Linked DNA regions of Oryzias latipes. The protein of the gene in region 2 interacts with the protein of the main gene of each other region in a biochemical or structural test. Links are inferred from orthologs where the notes say so. Each region holds a gene or a part of one and is shown on either strand. Other genes may lie near its edges.

Region 1 (4,322 bases), on a different chromosome or scaffold from region 2:
TTATGAAAGGAACAAATCAACAGAACAGGAGTTGAGCAGTAAATGAATACCTCCGCCTGATTGTTGGTCCCGACGGTCAGCGCCAGCGTGCGGCAGACCTCCGCGACCCGCTGCTTCCTCAGCAGTGCCGTGCTCTCGCAAACAGGAGCAGAAGACAGAGAGAAGCTGAAGAGCAGGCAGAGAGATTCAGCAACCTCTGCTCCTAACCTGACATGACCTCCTCCAAGAGCACAGACGCACTCAAACAGCTGCGTGAGATGCATGGGCTCAAAGTGGGAGGGAGGAGCTTGAGGAGGCTGGAACACGCAGCTGATCAGCTTCAGGAGTTCTCCTTCATACGGCCGTTCCTCCTTCTCCGTGTAGGAGTGCGTTTCCAGCAAATGGAAAAAGGCAATAAAGAATTCGTGGCTCATCATTTCGGGAAACCCCTTCCACTCAACCAGTTCCCTCAACATCACCATGGAGAGCCTCTTTAGCCTGATGTTGCCATTGGCCAAAATGAAACAGGCCGTCTCCCAGGCCAACGCGAGGTCCTGCCGAGACATGACCCCCCTCAGAACGTCAGTTATGATGTGGAGGGTTGCAGCAGTCAGGGACTCTAAGGCAGCAGGCGAGGAGAGTACGAGGGAGGAACAGCTGAGATAGGAGGAGGAGCACGTGGGCGGGAAGCGGAAGGGCTCCAGCAGTACGGGCCATCGGCTCTGCATCTGGATCCCCTGACCGGGTCCTCGCTCAGCCAGGAAACTGATGTGAGAATACAGGACGCCGCTGAGGTCCCGGGCCAAAAAAAGGAGCTCCTGAGTGAGGCGGCTGAAAATGAAAGGCACCCTGACCCTCAGAGTGTGAAGTAAAGAGCACAACACCGCAGAGACGCGTCCGTGGATCACATCACAGCTCGGAGCTGCCGCCACCCGAAGGAAGCGAGCAGCGACCCACCGACTAAAGTCTGAAATCAACAAGTCAGGAAAGAAAAAAGTTACTATTGATTATGCTTTTATTGAGAATTTGCTAGTTGTTTTAAGGATTTCTTACCCACAGAGCTTTGCGTGGCGTCTGGGTATTCAGCAGGGTGGCAAGCAGGGTTTGCAAACATCAAAGAAGAGGATTTGACTAAATGCTGCACAAAGTCCAGCAGCATGACGCACGCCGGCTCCGAGCTGGACTTCTTACTTAGACCTAAAGCAACTGGAACAACAGAGACTTTTAATGTTTCTTCAAACGAATCAGACTGAACATCTGTACAGAACAGAGTGAACTTAAAAAAGTGTAGTAAAAAAAGGGAAAAGACATTTTCTCAGCTTCAATCTCCAAAATATATTTTATCAAAAGTATATGATAGCATATTTCGTTAAGCGGATTTCAAACCTAATAAAGAAGAATGGCTGATAATGGCAGGAAGCTCCATGTATTTGTGTTTATTGAGACAACCAATATTTTTTTATTTACTTTTACAGATGAAAACACTCCCGATCAATCATTTTTGATTAGAAATAATATATTTTTCCAGTATAAGAATACACATTTATTCCCTTGATGTATGAATTTATTTCCAATTATGACAAAAAATTTTTTTTTTGGCATTCAAGTAAAAGCTAAAGCAACAGTTATTTTGACTATAGTACATAAATTAATATTATTTTAGATAAATTGCACATTTGCAACAACAGGCATCTCTGAGAAAAAACCCAACCTGTTGGCGTCTCCAGTATGAAGAGGCTTTAATCTATGCAACAAAGTTATTTCCAGTATTTTTGATCTTATGACTGCTAAACTATTAAACCACTACTATGAGTTCAAAAAAATAAAACATTATTGAACACAAAAGTCACATAAATACTATTTCTGAGTTTTAAATGTAGTCTTTTTTGTTGACCACTTAGAGGTAAAGGAATTGACCCTTCAGGCTTAAAATATCAAGATATGCCAAAAAACAAACAACCGTTCACTAGCACCACATATTGTTAGTGCCAGAAATAAAAACATTTTGGAAAATAAAATGCTTTTTGGTAAAAAGTATAACCTTCATCACATTTTCGTTAGATTTCTAAAAAAAAACAACCTCTTCTTAAGTGTCTTTTTCCCCCCATGATGAACAAGTACACTAAATAGCTAAATTTTTGACAGTTTTAACCATCATGATGTAAACAGGATAATCTGACTTCCTTTCCTGTATAACTTCGTTTCCCCCCCTAATTTCTTCCTAATAATCGGATTCTGTTTGTTCTTTAAACTTAGAAATTTTGTTTTAAAAAGAACACAGTCAATGGCAGTTACAAAAAAATAAAGAAACTTCAAAAGCGACCATATTTCAGTCTGAATGGCATACATATTTATATCAGTGATTTTAGAGGTTTTTTTGTGTCAACGCGTCAGATCTGATATTATTCGCAGTTTTCAAGTTGACTTACCGACATCCACATCGGTCAGGATCCTGTCTATGAACTGACACAGGATGCGTCGAGGTTTCTGCACCGTCTGGTCGTACTCAGCAGCGCCAGCACTGAAACAAACCATCGTTTGTGGCTTCAGCAGATACAGTCGCCAACTTGAACTTGTCTTTTTACCGGTATTGATTAGCCTTTTAGCTAATCTTAGTTTTTGCAGGACTCACCTTGCTAGCTCCTGAAGAGCCGGTATCATCGCGGACATCTCAAGTCCGTCCATTTCTGACGTCCTTAGCGCCCACTTTTATGGGTGCCCCACGCGTTAAGAAAAGTTAAAATACAAGCAATACGCGACACCCATCACATCCAGTCCCGTTCCAAAACTTTCGCTCCAAAATGACGTGTTCTGTTTTCATACGGAAGCTCTCGAGGTCCAAAACACACGAAAACGTTTTTAAATGGGAAAGGCGCCCTCTAGCGGAAAAGGCTTGTCTTAAAAAAAGTGTTTTACTCTCACGAAACCGCTCCAAAAGTATGATATTTTTTTCAAAGAGTAAAAGGACAACCATAGTATTTAAATACTCTGTAAACAACAAAAAGTCGATAATCTAAAAATCTAAAACTTCTGGTAATTTTTTAAACCTAAATACAGTTAGTAAAGAAACAGAAAAGTAACTTTTGGAGTCAATTTTTGCTTTTTTTTTCCTCTCAAACTTTTAAAATATCTCACCCATACCTATTTTTACCAATGTATCAGAACCACAACGACTGATTGAAAATACTGGCACACCCAGGAAATGGGTTATTTCAAGACTACACCATTAATATTCCCTGTTAAAAAAAGTTACAAAAATATAAAAATAAAAGCAGACTGCCATTCAAAAACAACTGTGTAAATTAATACCAACACAATTGGTATTTTCTGTATGTAATCATTGCCTAAATACTTTTGTTCTTAATTCTCATAATATCATTATGTCATCAAATGAGACACTGGACACAGGTGTATTATTTTTATTTTGTATTTTAATCACCAATTAAATAACAACACTCAATAGAAATAGACTTACAAAAACTGTTTTAAATTCATGTTGTAAACAAAAAAACAAAAAAAGAAATTAACCATCTAAAGAACAATACGACAAACAAAATTCAATCTACTTAGACACGAAAAACAAGGTAAATGTTCCCAACATTCATGGATATATCACAAGGGGGCGTTTATTTTTCTGATTTCTGACATTTTTCAGTGGTACAGCAATACCAGACATAAAGCAAATAAAACTGAGATCAGCAAATTAAAAAACATGAATAGTCTAGTGAAGCTGCTGATGAGGAACACTTGATGTCTGGTGATTTTAGCAAACAAATGTTTTTTTCCTTTTTTTGTTCAAAATGTTTTTTCACTTGGTGGTTTTTTTGTAACCATACCCCATGAGACAAGCAAAGAGTGTCATCACCATCTTGGGATTTACTTCCACCAAATCATCAGGCAAAGCGTACACTCGAGCTCCGATCTTTCGGGCTAATGAGATTGCGTATCTGAGAGGAAAGCAAAAAAACAAAAAACAAAGGTCAGGTAAAAAGATTAAGGGGAAGAAAAACAACATAAAAAGCATAACAAAATTAACGAATGAGTAAGCGCTTACTTGGCATTGTCGAGTTTATCTTCATTGCTCATCTTTCCCCTGGCATCTTTCTTCACCATGTCCCATTTAACAGCGCCGGGAACGATGCAGTCGATCAGGTCAAACACCGGCATGCTGGTGCTGATCAGCTTGTCCTGCATAAACCAAGCAGCATAGATTCACTGACGTGCAGCAGGTGAGTTCAAATGCAGAATCTTCTAATTAAAAAAAACCACAAACCTTGAAGTTACTAATCTGTGATGCCTTCTTTTTCTGACCCAGAGTGGTGTTGACCCAGTTCAGGATGATT
Region 2 (3,997 bases):
GTGGTCTGACACAGAAACTCACAGGTGTGTGGTCAGAAACAGATACACACAGGGAGGCGTTCAGACAAAGAAACACACAGGTGTGCGTTCAGACACAGAAACACACAGGTGTTTGGTCAGACACAGAAACACACAGGTGTGTGGTCCGACACAGAAACACACAGGTGTGTGGTCCGACACAGAAACAAACAGGTGTGTGGTCAGACACAGAACCGCACAGGTGTGCGTTCAGACAAAGAAACACACAGGTGTGCTGTCAGACACAGAAATACACAGGTGTGTGGTCAGACACAGAAACACACAGGTGTGCGGTCAGACACAGAAACACACAGGTGTGCGGTCAGACACAGAAACACACAGGTGTGTGGTCAGACACAGAAACCCACAGGTGTGTGGTCAGACACAGAAAAACAAAGCTTCGGTCAGACACAGAAACCCACAGGTGTGTGGTCAGACACAGAAAAACAAAGCTTCGGTCAGACACAGCAACACACAGGTGTGCGGTCAGACACAGAAACACACAGGTGTGCGGTCACACACAGAAACACACAGGTGTGTGGTCAGACACAGAAACAAACAGGTGTGCGGTCAAACACAGAAACACACAGGTGGGCGGTCAGACACAGAAACACACAGGTGGGCGGTCAGACACAGAAACACACAGGTGTGTGGTCAGACACAGAAACACACAGGTGTGTGGTCAGACACAGAAAAACAAAGATTCGGTCAGAAACACACAGGTGTATGGTCAGAAACAGAAACACACAGTTGTGTGTCAGACACAGAAACACACAGGTGTAGTCGGAGAGAGAAATACATGTGTTTGACCAGGAAGAGAAACACACAGGTGTGCAGCCAGACTAAGAAATGCACAGGTGTGCCATCAGACAGAGAAAGACACAAGCGTGCGGTCAGACAGAGATATAGACAGGAGTGTGATCAATCACACAAAAAAGTGGATACCATATAGAGCAGTGTTTCTCGACCAGTGTGCCGCAGCACACCAGTGTGCCGTGGGAGATGGTCAAGTGTGCCATGGGAAATTGCCCTCATTAACTGATCAAAAACATTTCCCATCTCCAGGATTTCAGCTCTGTGTTCAACCAAACAGGCCCTGATAAAACACTGAGGAGTTAGGAATATAAAAGATCGTAAAATACTTTTTCTTTGCGTTTATTTTATTTTATTAAAGACATTTTGATAAGAATGACGCAATTCAGCTGCACCTTCGGCTGTATTTTGGAAAAGTCCCGTCCCTTTACTGTATCCACCAATAATTCCTGGGGGCTTAATCACATGTCATCAGTCTGACCAATCAGAAGTGCTTAAAGTCTTCACTTCCTTGTCCCGATTAAGCTCATAAAGTCGCTCAGTTCTAACAAAAATACCAGCTAAAGCTCGTCTTTAGCGGTGTAGCTTTCCACAGAATCCGGTATCAGACCGTGGAACAAGTGAACAAAACAATGAAGCTCCGAAAAGCGATCTTCGGCCGTTTTATGCACTACATCTCCCATGATGCATCGGTTTGTGAGAGTGACAGCGCACAAGGAGATCTGTTGTTAAACGTCTTGAAACCAACGAACACACATCAAACTGTTTTTAAATCTTCTAACTTAACTTTTATTGCATCTTTAAGAAAAAACAGCTGCAGTTTCCAGCTTTTTCTGCCACAATTATCTCAAAAATGCATGTGAGATTGTGCAGGGGCTGTAGATCAATACAGACTACGAGTTTCTCCTTTTTTTTTTTTTTGGATGCTGGTGTGCCGCGGGATTTTTTTTAAGGTTAAAGTGTGCCGTGGCTCAGAAAAGGTTAAAAAACACTGATATAAAGAGACAGACAGGTGTTTGGTCAGACAGAGATCAGATAAGAAACAGACAGTGCAGTCAAACACGGAAATAGACAGGTGTGAGATAAAACAGAGACAGACTGCTGTGTGGTTAAATGGAGATAGACAGGTGTGCAGCTAACCAAAGAGACAGCCAGATGTTTGGTCAGAGAGAGAGAGAGACGGGTGTTTGGTCAGAGAGACAGACGGGTATCATTGAGAGACAACCTGTCTGTGGTAAGACAGACAGGTTGGTACGCAGCAGCTCGGCTCTCACTCTGAAGATCCTGAAGTGTTTCTTGCTGTAGATTCTGAACTTTCTGGAACCCCTCTCTTCCGGGTCATCCAGGACGTAGTTACATGTGGAATCCCGTCCAAACAGGTACTGGTCCGCAATGCAGTCTGGAACCCTCAAACACAGACCAGGTTCTCAGTTAGGTCTAGAATCAAAGACAGCATCTGAACCGTTCTGTGGGGTGACGGCTGGAGAATCACCGTGGCTCCTGAAGCCTTTGGCCATGGGCAGCAGGCGGCCCCAGGGTTGTGGTTCTGGTTCTTGCTCCTCCGGGACAGAAGCGAGTGTGACAGGAATGGTGTCCACGCTGCTCAGAGTCCCAGACCCGCTGGAAGACTGACTGCCTGAAGTGGGCCCGCTGGACGAACCGGACCCTGGCTGAGACTGGGACTGAGACCTCACCTGAGAGGGGGACATAGTGGACTGGGTCTGGGACGTGCCCTCCACCTCAGCCGTCTCCGCGGACATTGTGGACCTGCAGAACCAGATAAAGAACCTCTGAGTCTTCCCGTATCTTCTATCCTTTCACCAAGACAGAACCCACTTGAGCAGGACCTTTTGGACCAGATCTGCATGTGGAACTCTGCGCGGGAAGACCCATGCTTTCCAGGGAAAAAACAACCGGAACCGGAACCCAAGCAGTTCACAGCTGCAACCGCGTCCACACACGGAGCTGGTCGAGCACTCGGTACTGGGCCACACTCACCGCTGCTTCTTCCGGGTTTTAAAAGAACCGAACCTGTCCAAACACGACACGTGCGGTGCAGCTCCTCTGCAGGACTCTTCGAGCTGACGTCACGTGCCACCCGCAGCCAGTCAGGAGTCACAGATCAGTCACGTGACGGTGGAGTTGGAGGGGGGATTTCCGGGTCTGAACCGGACCAGCTTTTGCGACATGACAGTGTGGCTCTGCTAACCCGACCGAACCAAACCGAACCGAACCGAGCTGCCTGTGGCTGACATGTCCGGCCAGAGGCGCGGAAAGACCTTGATCATCACCGACGGTGAGAGCTTCGGTCCGGTTCTGATCTAAACTCGGATTCTGACGGTTTGGGTTCTCGTGAAACAGTGACGTCACTGATCTTCACGCAGAAGTTAGCTTCTGATGTAACTATGAAGGAGAAAGTTCAGGAACCGACAGTCGGTTATCTGCTGCCCAGAATCTGACACGTGACACACATGATCACATCTCCAGATCCAGTCTTCACCTCCAGAACCTTCTTAGAAGTCCTCCCCCAGGATCTGTCCTCCTTCCATCCCAACATGATGAAACAGCTTGAAGCTGCTTCCTCTCATCTGGTCTCCTGATCACATGCAGATCCACCTGCGTTTGTCCGGACTTGGGACAAGCACGTGAAAGCTCTGGACTGTGTTTCCTTGTAGTTAAATTATTTTTCCCACAGCGTACTTCTGTGATGTCTAATGTGTCTTGAATACCCAGTTTCCCCTTCTGCATTTTTGGTGTTCACCTTTCTGCACATCCCTTCAGGGGTCGCCACAGCGAATCAGCTTTCACTGATCCGCACAGGTGGAGACTTGGATAAGAGGCGAAACGTCTTCTAACTTTAAAAACCAAGTCCAGATGACATCCCCTAAACCTACTACAATGGAACCAACCTGGATGAATGAGAGTCTTCATAGACACAGGTGGAGATTGTTACACCGGATGGCCTTAAAGACACAACCTTGTATTTTACCCGGGCTGGGGACCGGCACAGGGAGACCCAGCCTTGGGCCCTGTCGTGTCTGCATACTTGGGCAGTAGCAGGAAAGGCCTTACCCAAGGACCCACTCTGGGAATCAAACCCTCGTTTTCCTTTAACACACTGAGCCATCCAGCCGCTCCAAAGTTGCCCGTTACCGTGAATAATGAT
Region 3 (3,461 bases), on a different chromosome or scaffold from region 2:
GTTTAAACTTTAAGAGTTTAAACAAGAGAGACGTGTAAAAATGTTCATGTCTGTCTGAAAAAAAATGTATAAAATGTGCAGTGAGGGGTTTTAGAGCCTTAAAACTTCTGTAATCCTAATTCACAGATTAAACCAAACGCATGTTACTTTTAGAAAGCAATTCCCAGGATAAACTACAGACTGCTGGATATCAGAATGTATATTTTTTTCCTGGACTTTAAAGGCCTATTAGCAATTTTAAGCTACATGTTTACGAAGCAGATACAGTTGGTCAGATTCTTAACTTTAAAATAATTATCAATAAGAAGTTACAAGATTCTGTTTTTTTTTTAAGAAAAAACTTGTGTGATCAAATAAACACTTTTACATTTTTTAGAAAGGGACTCTTTAAATGTCGTCATTTTTCTTTTTAATTAAATCAAAACATTAAAATCCAACTTTTGCACATACTAGAGCTTCCGAATTTTAGTCATTCATGATCATTTTCACCTAAAATTATTAAGAAAGTGGTAAAAAGAAGGTGAAAATGCCTGAACGAAGGAGAAAGTTTATGGAAAAATGTTTTTTTATTTCACCTTACACATTCATACTAAACAACCCGAGCCAAGCCGTGCTGGGGCACCATTTCGTCGGCAGTGTGTACATGTAAACACAGGCTTAGCAGTTCTTGCAGATATAGCAACACATTTCCCTGCAGGCAAAATAAACCAGGAGTGTCTGATGATGCCAGACTTCTCGAAATGTTTTTCTCCTTTTTTTATTTATGCAGTAAAATGCTGTAATTCTGAACATTTTATGGGTATTATATGGATGAACATACGGATTCCAGTGCTCCTTAGAGATTCTATACAGGCTGCCAAACATGATGGGGAGAATCTTGTCGATGTTCTCCTCGATGAGGCTGAGAATGTAGTCATTGTTCCAGAAGTACAGAGCGCGCTCTGCTACCTGTGAGGACAGGAGAGACGGGATCAAATTTGTAAAGCATTTGAGGTTTGAATAAAACCAAAAAACAAAAAAAAATGAGAGTACCTGAAAGTGTGCATTAGCCACACACTTAGAAATCTGTTTGAACAACGGCTCCTGGACTTTTTTGAATTGGGTTGGTTCAACGACGTCCAAAATCTCTTCGATTTCACCCAGGAACATCACCTACAACACATAATAAAAAGAAAATAATTTTTCACAGCAGTCGCAAAAATATGGGAGTGCACATGAAAAGGAGCTAAATACCTCCTTCTGGCTGCAGGTCTTGGGCCAGTACTTCAGCAAACCCCGGATCACCTGCAACGAAAAGCAGGGGATTTCTATTCTGCATTTATTTGAGTGGGTGGTTTTTCCATCATTCACTACAACATTTCTGCGGTGCAGACTAATCCAGAGCTGGAGATTCTGTGCATCGAGTGGGAGGGAGGGTAAAAAAGATGTACCGGCTCTGTGAGCGTGGGATCCTTCTCCAGGAACTGGACCACGCAGTACGCCAGCTGAGCGGCACAAAGGACAAAATTAATAAGTAAACAAAGGCTGTTTTACAGAAGAAAAAGGACATTAAAGAGAAAAAAACGAAACCTATAAGGATGCAGTTGGATTTATGCAAATATTTAAATCAGTTTTCACTGTGACCTCAAATAAAACTCTCCTTAAAAAAGCTGCATAATCGAACCGATGCATATCCTTTGTGCAAGACAACAGACTTAAAAGACTTCAAGATAAAGATGCAAAGCAATCTGGTGCTGTTACAGAAATTAAAAGAAAAGCTGCTTCTACCTGTGCGTGGAAAAGGGCCAGGCTCTTGGCTGTATGCAGCGGGATGAGCACCTTCATCAGGAACTGCTTGTGCTCAGCCTTCAGAGGCAACGCAAACCCATTGATGATACTAGAAACAAGCAGACAAGAGAGGATTGTAAGTTACAGAACACACAGAGAAAACCAGGGCTTTAAACGAGCAATGAAAAGGAAATATTATAAAAGGGTTTTTAAAGCTGTTCCAAAAAAACAACAGTGAGGGAACGCAGTAACCATGCACTAACCTTACTTTTTTTTTGAAAAATTGAGGAAGTGGCAACTATAAAAACAAAGTTCCAATGAGGAAAATAGTGTTTTATTTGGTCAAAAAAAACTTCTAATAATTTGAAGTTTGGCCTAAAATCACAAAGGTTAATAAATTCCCTCCAGGTCACAATGGTTAAACGTTGAACTCTGCCTCGACTTTCGACTGCATCCCAAAGATGAAGTCTTGCTTAAGACATGGGGATTATTTTTATAGATTGGACTAGACAGTGCCACAGTTATTATGAGAGCCTTTGAGCTTAACAGTAAATGCAACAATTTTTTATATACATTTTTGACTATGCTCTTATATATTTGCTGTATGGTTTTATTATGAGAAATAATAAATGTAAAAAAATAAAGAAAAAAAATGTTTATATCTGAAGAAAAGCAGCAAATGCACAGATTTTCAAAGTTGCACAGGTTTGTGTCTCTGATTTAAAAGCAACAATCAATCAAATAATCAATGGGGTTTGTTACCTTCCCAGAATTTCCAGTAGCTCAGCAACACCGTTGAAGTGCTCCGTTTCATATATGAACCTGCAGAGTCAGAGCAAAAGTCTACATTATCACAACGACACAATAACATTTCTGAATAAACCTGAAAATGAGGATCAAATTCGCCTGTATGCTCTCATATTGTTGAGAAATAGACCAAACAATATTTACAGTCTAATAAGCCACGCTTCATTTATTTTTCTCTGCAGGGGATACTGGTGTATCCCTGAACCGATGCAATGTACAAAGAGAGTCTGTCAACTGTGGCCCTATTTATATCCGCGGTGGCAGATGGTCAAAAACCGGTGTACCCGTTTTGCCACCTCGCTGGTTGGAAATGACATCAGGTGTCCCCTGTCTGGGTCTTGTACAGCTCTGTGTCACACGGCAACAGGAGCAGTAAAGCTGCAGCACGCCTGACCGAACACGGTTACCGCTGTCCTGACGCAAAAATGGAAAGTTAAAATACATGTTTGCATCCGCCACAAGCAGAAACTCGGACTCAAACTCTGCAGCAGCCCAACAGTGCTGCTGGTGTCTGCATTGAAAAAGCATTTTTTGTCCAAAAAAAAAAAAAGCCCTTTGTAAACAAGACAGCGTCTTAGGACTAGAGGAGATCATGAGCCAGCATGAGCGATAGCTGCACTGCCTCATTAATGAACCTGCTGTTCCGGCCTCAGCGTTTGACCATTCATTAAGGCTCGGCTCTGCAAAGTGTCCTGGTTCGACTGTCCCCAGAGAATGGGCTTCTGTGAAAGACTGAGTTCTTCCCCTCCCGATTTGAGTCCTTTTGTTGAAAACTGGCAGGAAGAAGTACAAAGAACAGGTTTGCTGGGTGTCTGCAGATTTACAGACGTTCCATTGAAAAATAGTTAAGACTTTTTCTTAAGAACACTTAAGAAAGAAATGCATCT
Region 4 (3,563 bases), on a different chromosome or scaffold from region 2:
ACGGGAGCGCGTAGTTTTAGGCACGTCAATTCACAGGTTTCCAGCTGGTACAAACTCTGTGAAATAATAGATAATAGTAACTGATAGCGCTGGCGCAGATTTCTCTCTCTAAGCACTGCTACTACTGCGCGCCTCTGGCATCGTATCGCGCCCGAGAAGGACTGGTCTAATGAAAAAAAAACTATAATTAAAGATTTGTCTGCGAGCCACATGTGACCATCAAAAGAGCCATATATGGCTCGCGAGCCATAGGTTCCCGACCCCTGTTCTAGAAGGACAGAGACTTTTGAATATGGATTTAGTGTGAAAACTGTTGGTTTTTTTTTTTTTTTTTTGCCTGAAAACTGCTCTATTTTGATAAAACAAAGCCCAGTGTATGAAGAACCTCTTTTTCCATCTTACCCTCTCCAAGTATTTTTCCAGGATAACTCCAGGACTTTCCAGACAGGTTTCAGCCAGCCAGTTCCCACAAAGTCTGAGGCTCTCGGTGTACGCAGGAACCACATCAGGGTCAAAATCCACCTGACCAACACATACAGTTTGATAACAAAGTTTATCTTCTTTTATTCCCCTGGAATTATTTTTTTAAATTCTGAGGTTTAAACTGAGCATTTTTCCTGCTTTACATTAGAAAATGTATGTTTGACCTTGTCCTCTAGACTGTGAATCATCTGTCTCAGCTGGCCCAGAGCCAGACCCTGCTCTCCCTTTGCCCAGGAAACCTGGGCCTCCTGCAGCTGCCACGAGCTCCCCGCTCCCCCCTGTATCTTCATCTGGTGGACCGCACGCTCTGCAAGCTGGAGAATAGCGAGCCTTTAGCAGGAAACCTTTCTGGCTTGAAATCTGTTAGGATGCACGTTTTGCTTCTACCTGGGTGTTTCCGGCCTTCCGAGCCAAACAGCAGAGCTCCATGAGATGGTCCGTGAGCGCAGAACTGAGGTTCGTGCTGTTCAAGTTTCCCAATTTGGATAAGAGAGCGTGTTGAGCCACAGAGCGCACCGCCAGTATGGGCTCCACCACAGCGAAGTCGCTGTCGGCTAGCAAATGGGAGTGCTGACGCCACTGACGGCAGATGTTGCTCAGAGCCAGATCAGAGAAAGGCCTGGTGCAAAACGGAACAGACGGTTCAGCGCCACCTTTCACTCCTGTTATCACAGGAGCTTCATAATCAAACTGACCTGGAGAAGAGTTGCTTGAAACTCTCCAGCTCCTTGATGCTCTGCAGGTTTCTGAGGGCTGGATACAGAGAAGACACGGCCTCTAGACTGTCCCTGCAGAGCTCCTCCACTTCAGCACGCCTGCGGCAGACACACAAGCTGTAGGAAGCCACTGCTACCAGCAACAACATGACATCCGCAGGGCGTTTCCATACCGGGCCTGTTTCAGCGTTTCATCAAACATGGAGAACTCTTTGTCCCTCAGTGCTTGCAGAGAACAAAAGATGGATTCATGAAAGCCAGGGACGGATTTCTCACTTCTGTTATGGGGGAATAGATTTAGACAAACATGTTACCAAGACAAGAACAGTAGATGTCACTGTGAGAGGTACACTCCCCTACCTCTCTGCTAGCTCACAGTCCCACTGGCTGTTCCTCCAAGCAGCTTGGAAGCGAAGTTCTCGCAGCTCAGCTCCCCACTCCACCCCCTCACTCTCCAGACCTCTCATGTAAGTGGCCAGGATGTTGCTCAGACCGAAGTTCTGCAGGCCCTGTTTGACATTTGGGACGTCCGGATGACAGGGATTTCACAATAAGAGAAAAGATTCTGTGTAGGCTCCTTTTGATATATTTTACCTCCACAATTCCAACTTGTCGAGTGACCTCAGGTAGAGTGGTGTGAAGGTCGTATGAGGTCAGAGCTTTTCCCCACAAAGCCTCATGTTCATAGGTTCGAATCCTGTGTGGAACAGTTGTAAATAAAACATCAACAATGCGGCAAATACAGCCAATATTTGGCTTCTACCTTATCAACGGGCTGTTCATCGTCTCTCCTCCACAGCCGTACAGACTGTCCGGGTCGCCGATGCTGCGATAAACTTCAATCAGCAGCTCCTACAAACAATAAAAAAAAATAAAACAGATTTAAGTCGATTAAAGACCCACTCCAATGAAAATGGTGTTTTTAACATGTTCTTAGGGGCCTTTTTCTGGTGATTGTGGACAGAAAAATTGACCTTAAAATTGCATTTAGGAGTTTTTCTTTAGGTAAATTGTTGTGAATCAGGAGCAGAGTTTATTTATTGCATAGAAAATATGCTGGTAGGACCACAAGCTCCCTGCTCTGCTTCATTCAAATGTCTAGACAAATAAATCCATGTATGTTTTTGTTTTCCCCGTCTGAGTTGGAATCTGGCTCAAAACTGCACAGCTGGATAGCTTTATTTCTGACAGAATAAATATATCAAACAAGATATTTCTGTTACAGATTTGACACATTTTTATAAATGATGAAATATAAATAACTTTCACACCTGCAGATTGATGCTGACGTCTTCCACACTCTTCTCCGTCAGACTGGAGATGGTGAGGGTCTGACTGTTCGCTTCAAAGTTAATTTTGCGTGATGCTCTGGACTTGGTTCTGCACATTTGATCAAGAAATAAAAAAAAAAAAAAAAAGAGAGTTAGAAAAAATAAAATCAAACCTCCAAGCATACCTGCAAGTTTCCTCCATGTTGGCTTTGATCTTGTCAACGTAGATCTCTGTGTAGAGCAGAGCGGTGAAGTGCGCCAAGCAGGACTGAGCAGCTTTGGCCACAACCAGGTAGTTCAAGTCCAGCCAAAAGTTTGAGTCACACACTGTTCCACCGGAGTTCCTGGACAGAGGGGAGACGACATCCTCATGAAGACAGTACGTCAGTTTGAAGACACCAGCGTCCTCACTATGTCGAGCTGGTACAGTTTTCACTCCGTAGTCGCGGAGGTTAGGGGCTGCAAATAAGCAGGTTTTTAGAAGTTTCCATCTTTTTGGGGGCCCTAAAGCAGGTCCTCACTCCATCATCAACACCTCAAAACTTGCCATGGTGCTGAAAGAAGCTACAAGAAGCAGAGCTGTCTGGACATCTTTGCTCATCCTGTGCTACCAACAACCATCTCCGTATTCGACATGCTAGAGACTTTTGGATTGAATCAGGATAGGATATGTTCGGGTCAGAGGAACCAAGCTGTGACGGGGTTAAGGGTTTTCAAATGTTTCTAGAGAAAGCTTTCAAGAGATGTTGTCAGTTTATACCAAAGTGCATGAGGAATGTGGCAGCATCATGATGGAAAAATTCTCTGAAGGTGGCGTGTCCACAGTCAAAGAGTGAGGAGAGCAGGAGTGCGGTGTTACAGCTTACCTCTTAGAATCAAGCGGTCTCTGCTGATGTCTCAGGTAGTCGATAGCAGCCAGCATGGTCCGCAGAGAGCTCTTGTCACATGAGTTCTGAGTGGGAGCGGGAGACTCTGAGGAAAAAAGATAGACAGGACGCAATCCCACCTGATGCTAAGGAAAATTCATCACCGTTTAGCTTTTTCAGGAAGAACTGTACCATTATCTGGGATGAGAGGTGTGGCAGACCGACTT

Evidence for each region.
Region 1: of the proteins of chek2 (region 2) and atr, one has a biochemical effect on the other in vitro, tested with the Homo sapiens proteins (2 studies listed by BioGRID). The link is inferred for Oryzias latipes from reciprocal best matches to the Homo sapiens genes CHEK2 and ATR.
Region 3: the proteins of chek2 (region 2) and ppp2r5a form a complex in vitro, tested with the Homo sapiens proteins (2 studies listed by BioGRID and IntAct, with this or other methods). The link is inferred for Oryzias latipes from reciprocal best matches to the Homo sapiens genes CHEK2 and PPP2R5A.
Region 4: of the proteins of chek2 (region 2) and atm, one has a biochemical effect on the other in vitro, tested with the Homo sapiens proteins (6 studies listed by BioGRID, with this or other methods). The link is inferred for Oryzias latipes from reciprocal best matches to the Homo sapiens genes CHEK2 and ATM.

The regions. Positions count from the first base shown.
Region 1 is NC_019880.2:5,842,400-5,846,721, forward strand, and holds the start of atr (serine/threonine-protein kinase ATR), read right to left. Parts: upstream 2,801-4,322; 5' UTR 2,665-2,800; coding exon 2,612-2,664; intron 2,501-2,611; coding exon 2,409-2,500; intron 1,186-2,408; coding exon 1,033-1,185; intron 947-1,032; coding exon 51-946; intron 1-50. Other genes in the region: plastin-1, read right to left, coding at 3,788-3,926, 4,034-4,167, 4,253-4,322. UniProt on the Homo sapiens protein: Serine/threonine protein kinase which activates checkpoint signaling upon genotoxic stresses such as ionizing radiation (IR), ultraviolet light (UV), or DNA replication stalling, thereby acting as a DNA damage sensor.
Region 2 is NC_019867.2:29,877,193-29,881,189, forward strand, and holds the start of chek2 (serine/threonine-protein kinase Chk2), read right to left. Parts: upstream 2,813-3,997; 5' UTR 2,699-2,812; coding exon 2,679-2,698; intron 2,599-2,678; coding exon 2,324-2,598; intron 2,231-2,323; coding exon 2,106-2,230; intron 1-2,105. Other genes in the region: serologically defined colon cancer antigen 3 homolog, read left to right, coding at 3,085-3,127. UniProt on the Homo sapiens protein: Serine/threonine-protein kinase which is required for checkpoint-mediated cell cycle arrest, activation of DNA repair and apoptosis in response to the presence of DNA double-strand breaks.
Region 3 is NC_019882.2:6,251,881-6,255,341, forward strand, and holds part of ppp2r5a (serine/threonine-protein phosphatase 2A 56 kDa regulatory subunit alpha isoform), read right to left. Parts: intron 2,590-3,461; coding exon 2,530-2,589; intron 1,877-2,529; coding exon 1,768-1,876; intron 1,485-1,767; coding exon 1,431-1,484; intron 1,285-1,430; coding exon 1,234-1,284; intron 1,153-1,233; coding exon 1,033-1,152; intron 949-1,032; coding exon 821-948; intron 1-820. UniProt on the Homo sapiens protein: The B regulatory subunit might modulate substrate selectivity and catalytic activity, and might also direct the localization of the catalytic enzyme to a particular subcellular compartment.
Region 4 is NC_019871.2:24,894,306-24,897,868, reverse strand, and holds part of atm (serine-protein kinase ATM), read right to left. Parts: coding exon 3,529-3,563; intron 3,443-3,528; coding exon 3,337-3,442; intron 2,815-3,336; coding exon 2,656-2,814; intron 2,580-2,655; coding exon 2,471-2,579; intron 2,052-2,470; coding exon 1,963-2,051; intron 1,897-1,962; coding exon 1,794-1,896; intron 1,709-1,793; coding exon 1,560-1,708; intron 1,478-1,559; coding exon 1,373-1,477; intron 1,299-1,372; coding exon 1,179-1,298; intron 1,103-1,178; coding exon 871-1,102; intron 798-870; coding exon 648-797; intron 523-647; coding exon 403-522; intron 1-402.